Linked DNA regions of Arabidopsis thaliana. The protein of the gene in region 3 purifies or fractionates together with the protein of the main gene of each other region. This does not show direct contact. Each region holds a gene or a part of one and is shown on either strand. Other genes may lie near its edges. The genes, in order: AT4G17830, AT1G07750 and AT1G63770.

Evidence for each region.
Region 1: the proteins of AT1G63770 (region 3) and AT4G17830 fractionate together in Arabidopsis thaliana (co-fractionation; one large-scale study listed by BioGRID). This does not show direct contact.
Region 2: the proteins of AT1G63770 (region 3) and AT1G07750 fractionate together in Arabidopsis thaliana (co-fractionation; one large-scale study listed by BioGRID). This does not show direct contact.

What each region holds. Positions count from the first base shown.
Region 1 is NC_003075.7:9,914,202-9,917,954, forward strand, and holds the start of AT4G17830 (Peptidase M20/M25/M40 family protein), read left to right. Parts: upstream 1-1,611; 5' UTR 1,612-1,714; coding exon 1,715-2,050; intron 2,051-2,255; coding exon 2,256-2,515; intron 2,516-2,591; coding exon 2,592-2,700; intron 2,701-2,776; coding exon 2,777-2,915; intron 2,916-2,997; coding exon 2,998-3,073; intron 3,074-3,153; coding exon 3,154-3,276; intron 3,277-3,366; coding exon 3,367-3,520; intron 3,521-3,626; coding exon 3,627-3,660; intron 3,661-3,741; coding exon 3,742-3,753.
Region 2 is NC_003070.9:2,403,945-2,407,697, forward strand, and holds AT1G07750 (RmlC-like cupins superfamily protein), read right to left. Parts: upstream 2,106-3,753; 5' UTR 1,920-2,105; coding exon 1,724-1,919; intron 1,319-1,723; coding exon 598-1,318; intron 510-597; coding exon 356-509; 3' UTR 48-355; downstream 1-47.
Region 3 is NC_003070.9:23,662,496-23,666,248, forward strand, and holds the start of AT1G63770 (Peptidase M1 family protein), read right to left. Parts: upstream 2,003-3,753; 5' UTR 1,749-2,002; coding exon 1,671-1,748; exon of another isoform or gene 1,369-1,670; coding exon 1,294-1,368; intron 1,211-1,293; coding exon 1,166-1,210; intron 1,060-1,165; coding exon 919-1,059; intron 832-918; coding exon 756-831; intron 611-755; coding exon 534-610; intron 385-533; coding exon 268-384; intron 190-267; coding exon 115-189; intron 32-114; coding exon 1-31. Other genes in the region: IMP4 (Ribosomal RNA processing Brix domain protein), read right to left, coding at 2,550-2,648, 2,770-2,857, 3,048-3,154, 3,306-3,395, 3,495-3,638. UniProt on the Arabidopsis thaliana protein: Aminopeptidase with broad substrate specificity for several peptides. Involved in proteolytic events essential for cell growth and viability. Plays an essential role during prophase I of meiosis.

The DNA.
Region 1 (3,753 bases), on a different chromosome or scaffold from region 3:
TTGTAAAATAAAAATAAAAATAAAAATATCTACAACGCATGGTCATATTCAAACTTAATTCTAATATTTACCCAAATGATTTTCTTTTCTAGCGGTTGAATTAACTTAGAAAAAGAACAATCTTCACTTAGAGATCCCAGTGACGATTTGGACGCTTAATTATTAGGGTTATCGACTCTTATTAAGGTTCTTCTAAAGAAAGAAAATGTAATACTTTGAAGATGAAGCAAGACAAACCGAAGAAGACAGCAGATATATATATATATATATATATACCGACCAAGATTCGTGTACGTAAAAGCACAACTGAGATATGAATTTGTTGGCATGCAAATAAATTACAGATGTTTGATGCTAAGACCAAATGAAATTAAAAAGGGATTTAGGGATTTTGTATCTGTGAGAGGAACAGTCCATTGAATCAGTGAGATAGGATACTTTAATTATACTGTCTTCTTCTGCTCAGCATGGTTCGAATCCCCATATCAATCATCCATTGTCTCTTTCACCTTTGTTTTCATAAATGGCAAAAACTTTGGTTGCAATTTGCGACAAAGGATGACGTATTCGGCGCCATTTAAAGTTGGAGTTTTAAAAGTAAAAACTATTACTATATCATGTGAAAATATAATTAGATTGTGAAGTATAATTTTTAGAATTCTGTCGTTTACCTCTTAGCATTGTTATTTGATTAGACTAAACTAATAATTCAATTAAATAACAAATCTAATTTTTTCATAGTCGAATTTCATTAGTTAATCGTTTAGTTGTTTCTCTCGTGGATCTTCACATCATCACATGTGCCAAGAAGTTAATATTAATATATAGTCATTTTCCGAGAAGAGTCTATTTGGGTTGTTTGAGTAAAGCGTGGATATCTTTTTCCAAAGACCTTTTGAGAACTTATCAACCACAATCCCTTATATATGGTTGAAGCTGTGATCACTTGTATTACAATTATATTAACAACTCAATCGGCATTAACACAATTGCTTTCGATTGGATCTATCAGAAATCGGCATTAACACAATTACATTATATATCACGCTAGGTCTGATCAGCTCCATGTCAATCTCGTTGTTTGTGTGCTCTCGGTTTAGTTATGTGACTAAGAAGATGAACCGACTTGGATAATTGATTGCCTGGTTGCAATATTTTCGAAAGTGATAGGATATCAACTGTTTCTTTTCAATCCATAACTTACATACTTAATGATATAACCACATATATATAGAATCGTGTGGCTGTCCCGAAACACGTGACCATACCATATCGTATTCGAATGCACCTACTTATCAACTATTTGAACTGATGTGGATTTAAGAATTGGTCATATATTATCCTCCATGCTTCATAGGGTAATATCCAGAGCGATGTTGCAACAGATCCTTACTTGATGCGTGGCCAATTGATGTTGCTTGTGTGAGTTGCCATAGATCCTAAAGCCAAGGAATACATTTTGGAATCCATAGAAGACATGAACAACATTAAGCAAAGCCTTCTGTAGATTTTTAATTCTTTTTCGTTGTTGAGGATAGTGATATGTACATTAATTAATTTGGTTCCGTATAATTTTTTAATTAATTAGCGTAACACTCCACCCGAAAAGGTCCAAAACCTTAAACAACACACGAAGCTCGTAGACAAGCTGACCAAAACCTTATTAGTTTTGTTTGCAAACCCCAAAAGAAAAAACATCTTTGGTGTAACAAAAATGGCTTCGTCTTCCAAAGCACTGATCGAATCCATAGGCTCTCTTGACAAAGACTCATACGTTTCTCTCTTATCAAAACTCATAGGCGAATCTAAATTCGTCCAGAACAATCCGCCGGAGCTCATCCCTCAAGAGGACCTAATCGTCAAACACGTCCTTGACTCTCTCCGTCCTTATAGCACAGAAACTGGTGGTGGTCCTCTGGTGATCAATCATGTCGCGTATCATTCAGGTAGAGGTAATCTCATCGTTGAGTACCCAGGATCTGTTCCCGGAAAGATCTTGTCTTTCGTCGGAATGCATATGGACGTCGTCACTGCGAATCCTGATGATTGGGTAATTTTGATTGATTCTAAATATGTGATTTTGATCGGTGCCCATTAGAATTAGCTTAAAATCTGATACTGGGTTCTGTTTAATTTCCGATGAACTGATCTGAATTGTTCCAAATTTCAAAGCTTTCTCTGTTTTGTGTACTCTAGGGTTTAATCGGTTACATTGAATTTTGGATTCTCTGGTTGACTTCGGTTTTTGTTCATAGGAATTTGATCCTTTCTCGCTAAGCATAGATGGTGATAAGCTTCGTGGTCGTGGGACAACAGATTGTCTTGGTCACGTTGCTCTTGTCACTGAACTCATGAAGAAACTCGGGCAAGCCAAACCGGCGTTGAAATCAACGGTGGTGGCGGTTTTCATCGCTAGCGAAGAGAACTCTTCCATTCCTGGTGTTGGTGTGGACATGCTGGTGAAAGACAAACTTCTTGATAAGCTCAAATCCGGACCCTTGTTAGTTTCCATTCTGTTAGAAATTTCTTGGGGAGTTTTTAGATGAAAATTGAAGGATGATTGAAGCTTATTGATGTGTATTCTTTTGAAGGTATTGGATTGATACAGCGGATAAGCAGCCGTGTGTTGGAACTGGGGGTATGATACCATGGAAGCTTCAGTTTACTGGAAAGCTTTTCCATAGCGGTTTAGCTCACAAGGTATTTTATATATGAATGGATTACTCTAGATGAAGTTGCAAACTTGGCATTGATCTTTTCTTCTGTTTGTACGAAGGCGATTAACGCGATGGAGTTAGCAATGGAAGGGCTTAAGGAAATCCAAGCTCGGTTCTACAGAGACTTTCCGCCTCACCCACAAGAGGAAGTTTATGGTTTTGCAACACCATCCACCATGAAGCCAACACAGTGGTGTTGTAAGTTTTGGAATCTATAGCATGTTGTGTGCCTAATGACTTTACATGTTGTCTACTTACAATAAATTGTTTGGTTTTGCAGATCCAGCAGGTGGAATCAACCAAATCCCCGGAGAATGTACTGTTTCGGGTGATGTCAGGTTGACTCCTTTCTATGAGTAAGTCTCTTCACACTTGTCTTACTCGTTTCTTCAATGCATTTAGACACACTTTAATGGCTTTTTGGTTGTTTTTGCAGCGTGAAGGAAGTGATAACGAAGTTGCAAGAGTATGTTGACGACATAAACGGTAACATAGAGAGGCTCGAAACCCGTGGTCCTGTTTCAAAATATGTCTTACCAGATGAGAATTTACGGGGAAGGTTTGGACTTTCTTCTTCTCCTGATTCTATTCTTTCTCTCATTTTATTGTCCCTACCGAAATCTTAAAAAGTCTTAATTGTCACTTGCAGGCTCACGTTAAGTTTTGATGAAGCATCAGCTGGAGTTGCGTGTAATCTTGATTCTCCCGGCTTTCACGTTCTATGCAAAGCAACCGAAGAAGTTGTTGGACACGTGAAGCCTTACTCGATCACCGGTACTTTACCTCTAATCCGAGACCTCCAGGTAAACCATTTGATAAACCGTACTTTAACTAGACTCAAGACTGATCTTTCAGAGTTCTCTACAACTTACTCTTTCTAAACCAATGAATCATGCTCTTGGTTTGTAGGATGAAGGTTTTGATGTGCAAACTTCAGGATACGGTATTACAAAACCCAACTCGGATTCTCTCCTTTGCTGAATTTCCTCATCTTTGATCCTTATCTATTTTAATTTTGTTGCAGGTCTCATGGCTA
Region 2 (3,753 bases), about 21 Mb from region 3:
TTCGTTTGATTGGAATTTTTGTTTACAGTAATTGGAATTTCTTTTTGAACCATCAAAATTCTGAAGTTTAATATGAAAGTGAGAATTTGAAGGAAGACAAATTTCTTTTGATTCAATTTTTCCAAAAGTTGAAAAGAAGGAAGACTGTAAAATATAGGAAAGGTTGATTTTTTAATATTTTAAAACAACGAGAACAAGAACCGGTCCAGGGGGAAAAGGCAGGAAGAGAATTAAACAACTAGACTAAGAAACTTCCTTGAATCACAAGAAAAGTAAAAACCCTCAAAAATCTCTGAGGGAAAGCAACAAACGATAAAAGATAAAAGCTGGTTCTTGTTCTCATTCTTCTCCTTCTTCAGTTGGAAGGAGGGAAGAAAATGGCTGATGAAGTCCTCGTGGATCGGAAGGACTTCTCCACCTCCGGAGCCACCTTAAACGCTGCCTGCAAAACCTCAGGGGACAAAGACTTCCACACCGATGTATTCCCGGCCAAATGTGTGAAGATCGGACTACAAACACACAAGAAAAAAGTTTCAAACATATTAGTTTCTTTCAATTTCAAACCTCAAAAAGGAAAGTGCAGAGAAAAGTTCTTACTCAGGAGTGGTGACAATGGAGAACCAAGACATGCCATCAGCATCAGCAATCTTAGAAACCACAAAGAACCTTGGAACAATGAAGAGAGAACCAGCTTTGATATGGGTCTCAAGAACTCTTTTCCCATCACCACCAACCACCTGGACTCTTCCACTTCCACCCACAATGTAAGTCACCTGAAGAGCAGAGTCACAAGAGAAACCAGGCGAACACATGGAGTGTGCATCGATCCGAACAAGATCAGCTCCAAAGCCAACCTCTCCAACCAAAGGAAGGTTCTTGGTGTTCAAGACAACGACCCTGCCTCCATCCTTGATGTCTACATCAAGAGGAGCCTCCAAACAGTTCAAGACAAACCCAGCACGGTTCTCCTCCTTGGGCTGTGGCATCTTAAAGCCCGCATCAAGCTTCACAATGCCATTACCGGTTTGAGAACCAACAAGTTTCTTCACGGTGTTCTCATCAAGGTCCCAGGCTCTGCCAACAAACTCAGTGGAGAAACCAGTGAAGATACCGTTTGTGCCAGTAAGATAGAACTCAGTGAACTGCCCTGCTTTGTGACCCTTGTGGGTTTCACCAAGGAAGAGGATAACAAGCTCAGGATCCTCGTTGTTGAACCACCATGTGACCACACCAAAGGGAAGAGCAATCGAATCACCTTGCTTGATTGCGATCACCTTCTCCTCCTTCTCTGGGAGAACAATTCCAGCAGTTCCAGATCCTGAAACAGAAATTTGAAAAAGAGTCAAATAAACAAGCTTTCAATTCCTTACACGCGAGGTTGATCAGATCAACGATTAAGACGTGATTAAGCAAAACAAAAACAGCTAAAGACTACTTTTTTTTCTTGCACACAGTAGTCGTGATCTATTTGACTATCATATTTTTCACTTTCTACAACAAAAATCAGATCATAGAATCAGCATCACAATAAACCTAATCACAGTGGTCAAAGTGCATGAATTACCATAAAGTTGACAACTTTTAAAGCAATAAAGAAGATCAGAACATAGAAAAGATCAAAAACCCTCAAAAGAAGAAGCAGAGTGATGAAATCGAACAAACCCATTATACAAAAACGCATGGATCGCAATAAAGTAGAAAACTTTTATAGAAAAAAACGAACCTTGAAGAACATAAGCGACCTTAGAGGAATCAGAGTAACGAGGGACAGCGAAGCCATTCTTCTCAAGAGCAAGCTTAGCGGCTCCAATGTTACCCTGTTTGAGCATCGGCAACTCCTCTGGGCACCAGGCAGAGTAAGATCCACCATCTCCTCCGTAAACCTTCTTGGGCAACTTAGGTGTAAGATCCAACTCCATTTTTTCTCGACGATGAAAAAGAGTAAAGAAGAAAAGATTTGGTAAAGGAAGAAGAAGAAGAAGTAGTAAGTTTTGATGTGAAATGTGAAAGAGATGCGACACGTATTTATATAGGAGAGGCTTAGGGTGAATCCGTTACTAATAGAGAGACTGATTCGGCGTTTTGATTGCGTTACGATTTACTTGTGGATAATTCTTGTTTAACGTTTTTAATCCAAATTTTATCCATTTCTTTATGCCCACGATATAATTTATATTTTGCCTACCAAATAAAGATTCCTTTGTGAGGAGATAATTTTTGTTAATCCATCACGTTCTTCGTTTTTTTTTCATAAACAAATACTAATTGAGACATTTAAATAAATCTACTAAAAGTGCTGTATTATTTGGTCAAATCGAATCATCAGAATATTTGTTGTAAATATTTTCTCAATTATGTCACCATATTTCTTTCCAATTTGGTGATTTTAAGATTATGTTTTCCTTTTTTTGTTACCTTAAAGATAAAATTAAAGGATGAATTCAAAAATCGTATGTTTTTTTTATCTAAGGTAATCGCTGATTTTATATTTCTTTTGCTAATTTTTTAAGGATGGGATCTGCTGACAGGATTGTATATTCTCTAATTTTGTAAAGGATTTATCCAGAAATATAAGTAGCAACAGACTGTTATAATTTTAATTTAATCCAACGAGCAACGTGATGGATAAGTTGAAAGAATTGCTGTTATTAAGGATTAGTTTAACATGGATAAATATGTAATTAATTTTGGCCTAATTATTATTATATCTAACTTGCATATTCATAACGCTTAGATGACAAAAACAAAAAAATATATATCATAACGCTTAGTTATATCCCCCCGAGAGAAAATACTTAGGCCCATCAGTGTCATTTATCTTAAGGGGCTTTAGCAGAAAGCTAATCACATGCCCATGTAAAATAAAAATGAAAAAATAACCAAAACAAGTGTGGCTGCTGGGATTCGAGCCCAGGTCTCCACGGCCACAACGTGGAATTCTTACCACTAAACTACAGCCACTTGAATGACTGTGATGATCAGATAGTAATATTTATCACAACAATATGCTATTAGTACCATATTTTTTTTTTCAAAATTGCTGCTAAGTTCCATTGCATTAGACAGCTGACCTAAATCTTGTATTTAATAGCACTTGTATAATTGATGGTTGGTGGAATGTTAATTTCGTTTCATGTAAAATTGTAAACACAAACACAAAATGTGCTTTAAAACAAGAAAATATGCAAATCATATCAACTCTAACATCAGTAACGTGTCGCTTTCCACTAGCTGGAGACAATGACTTGGGTAGTTACTTAGATCATAGGCACGTTTTATAAACGCAGAAGAATACCAACGTAACCTAATTCCCAAGTGATTCACAAAACTGAACCAAATTTGGTAACCTCGTAAAATTGACAGAACCAACAAGAGTTGGAAGCAGTCCAATGAGAAACAACTAGGCGAAGAAAAGAGGACCTCACTTTTTTTCTACTTTTGATTTGTGGCGAAGCAACCCATGTTACTCGCCTCAATAATTTAAATAGATTTTAATATACTAACAAAAGAGAAAAAAGAAGAAGAAAATCAAAAGTAGTAATAATGGGACTCAGGTCAGCTTAGTTAATGGTTCAAAGCATATGCTTTCGAAGATACTCTCACAAATGACCACTTTTTTGGTCTATAAACCCAAAATGAAACGTCTCTCTCACTTGGCTTCTCCTTTGATAAGGTCGAAAAGACCATCAACAATGGATGCTCCTCATCAAACCTTCCTCTCTCCTCTCTTATCTCTTACATATCTAAATACAT
Region 3 (3,753 bases):
ACGTGTACTTAGCCATTATATCAGGACGATCCTGTCATTTCATAATAAGAACACAATGTAAGAACATCAATTGTACTACCCCAACACCAGTCATCTTATCAACAAGTAATCAACCTGGTAAAATGTAATTTTGCGGAAACCTTCTGCTTCACACTGTGTGCAGAAATTCCCAGAAGACTTGTAAAGCCCCTAACAGAAGAAATTAAAAAGGTTAGAAGAAATCATTTACATCATTGAAAGTTTAAAAAGAAAGGAAAATAAGTTCACCTCAAGTGAAGTATTCTTGTGGGGGTATATCTCAGTATCAATCTCCAAAACAAAGGACTCCTCAGCTGGAAGCGAAGGAAGAGTTAGATGGCGAGAGTCCAACTGGTAATCCCCTTCCTAGCCAAAGTGAAAAGAGAGACCAAGTATCAGAGAGGAAACTGAGTTACTTATTCTTAGTCAACTGAGTTGCTTGTCTTAGAGAAAAGTCTATAAAGTGAGCCTAGAGATACAAATATTTTCCGAAAGGAAAAGTATTGAATGGATACCTTAAGAAGCTTCCCCTCAACCTTGACAGAAAGTAGCTTCAAGTCATGTCCATCCAAGACCAATGCAGCAGAAGATCCTGGCCAACATGATACTTGTTCAGATGTGATGTGAGAAAAAAAGAAGCAAAAATCCATCTTAAAGCTATGCAAACAGCTCATGCAAAAGAAAAATAAACTTGTATGTTCAGCTTAAAGAAACAGCAAAGTACTAGACTGTTGTACCTTTAACTCGAGGAGAAACCTTGATTTTAGAGCTAACAATTGTTTTCTCTTCACCTAGAGAGAAGCTCAGATCCACCTAAACAAACAAACAAAAAAGCTTCAAATAACAACAAAATGATTCTAGTCATATACTCAATTTGGAATTAAAAGAAAGCTAGCATACAGTTTCAAAGTAGTAATCAGGCTTTGTGTAGTTCTTGAGAAATATTTCTTTAGGTGCATCCATTTTGGAATCTTCAGCTTTATCCGGAACTGATTCTGTGGCAACAGAACAAATGAGCCTCCTGCTGTTTTGCTTATGTGTCTGACATATAAAACAGAATATGCATTTATTTTAACTACACAAATACAGCATTAAACTAATAACTTTTGGATTTTATCTATCATAAGGGAAGGATAGAGCAAGTTACATCAACAGAATGGGGTAGAAACCGATTCTTCCTCAAACAAATGGCCTGAAACAAAGAATTACAGCAAAGATCATTCTCTATTTACATAGCGTGGCACTTGATGATAGAAGAAACAAAGAAACACAAACCTCGGAAGTAAGAAACGGTCTGTGTTGAGTAAGTCTGTTTGCCGAACTACGAAGACAACTGCTTCTAACAGGAACCTGTAAAAGAGAAATTAACATAATTATAAACATATAAAGATGGAACAAAACAAAACAGAAGTCATAGGAACACAAGAATCAAGAACAATTTCTTATTCTTACACAAGTTCTTTCCAAGGTTTGTGTACACAACCGAATTCAAAAGTAAAACATGTAAAAACTAAACTCTCAACAAAAACATACAATTCGAACAGAACTCCATCATTTTAATTATATCATTTCTATTGTCAGAATCAATCAAAAATACAACATTCTATATCTATAACCAAAAGAAACAAAAAAAAGAGTTAAAGGGTAATCACAGGAGCACGAGAGAGCAAACCCAGAAGATTGACTCTCGCCAGAGACGAACTTCGACAAGGAATTATCAACCGAGCCATTTAAAAGAACACCCAAATTCTAAAAATCCCTAAAGCAACAATAACTCTTAACAATAAAATTAAATTAAAAACACTTCCTCCTTGTTGCGGCTAAAATCTCCAATCTATAAACCCTAGATGATAACTCTCTCTACTCACTATAAACAGAGAAGAATCAAAAGAGAAAACACAGAGCAGTAAGTTATGGACTTTTATAAAACTAATGGATAGAATTTAAAATGAAAAATATGGCCGAGAAAATTCGATATAATATTAACAAAAAACAAAAATAAAACTGGGAAGCAAGCAAATGATTAAACGAAATTAAAATTCGATTTCGCGACTTTCACAGAGATCAAATCGATCTGAGGAAGACGAAGAAGTAAATTACCGATAGATCCGATGATCAGATGAAAGAGACACAACTGAAACTATGAGACGAAACCTGGGACTGATATATATATAACAACACGATGAAAGATATTTATAATTAAAAAATAAAAATTATAGTTTAGAATTTTGACAATTTTGTGTTTATCCATTTTCCAATACCTTTTAGCACTTCGATGCTGCTCAGATAATTTTTGTTTGAATTCGTGGATAAAAATACTACTACAAAATTTTTTATTATGACTCACGCAACAGTATATGGTTGAAGATAAATACTAATTGAAGACAAGAAAGTTTTGTTTTTATAAGCTAAACGTTAAAACAAAATCATCGCAATTTTCTCTAAGGACACAAAAACTGAACAGCTCTTCCAACAGAATGATAAGTAAAACAGAATTTAGATAAAGGGTTCAAAGCTGTTCCGTTTAGTCATCATTCACCGATGAACTTGCGCTTTTTAGAGGTGTTCATGTACGGTCTTATAACCCATTCGATCTCTGCTTCATTTTGTTCCACAGTTCCTAATTTCACCTGCAAAAATAATTGCATTACACAGAAACAACATTGTTACTAAGGAACTAGAATGATTCTTTATCAAACCATTATTTTACTCGAGGAAAACAGTTTTGATTCGGTTAAGCAGAATGCGTACCTGGTAGAGCCGCAACTCAAATCGAGGACCGATTTCTTTAAGCTCGATTGATTTTGGACCTCCCTCTCCTTTATCATAGACATGATTCCTATATATATATACCCACAAGAATTTATAAAAATCTCCATCTGTTGTATTTACAGTGTTCTTACATGCTGTTTCTATGTGGATCAGATTACCAAATGCTAACATAAGCCTTAAGACCTTAGGCTTTGCATACTACAATTGATGTCACCAATTAAAATTCGTAAAATCTGATCATTGTGAGAAAATTTTACCTGAATGATATATAATCGGATTGATTAGAAAAAGTAACTATACGTTTTGCATCCAGTTTTGGAGCAGGGAAGATATGTTTTAAGATGTTTCCAACTCTTTGACCCATCTGCAAAACAAAGGGAAATCAAATTTGAAAATATGTTTACATTAGAAATGAATAAACCAGAGCGATCATTCTATGAGACACGACGAAGCTTGATGGTTTCCAATACCAAATTACAGTAAGAACGAAGTGAATTTTGGCTCTAGAGATATACCTGAGTAGTAAAGTTGTTAAAAATGAGATGAGGATATTGCTCAGGCATTTTTCCAATGGATTTCTTGTCTGAAATATCATGTCTTGTTACCTAAACAGAAGGGACTTTGGATTAAGTAAAAAGGCTAAACTAGGAGTTGAAAGAAGAAAGATTTGGATATAAAAATCAGATCCTCAAAGAGTTACTTACCACATTAAGTAATCCAAAGTATGCAGTTGGTCCAAATGGGAGATGAGAGATAATGAGACCATCAGGCACACCACGGTGCTCATGAACCAATATAACATCAGTAAAATCATGGGAACGAGCAGTTTCAATGATCTCAGAAATGACCTGCAAATTAACAGAGTGGGAAAGAAACTTAGATTACGATTCGAATGCAACATAGTTTCCGTGTTACACTTACATAGAGAGGTTTTGTGTTGAATATAAGTGTCAGTACAACTCC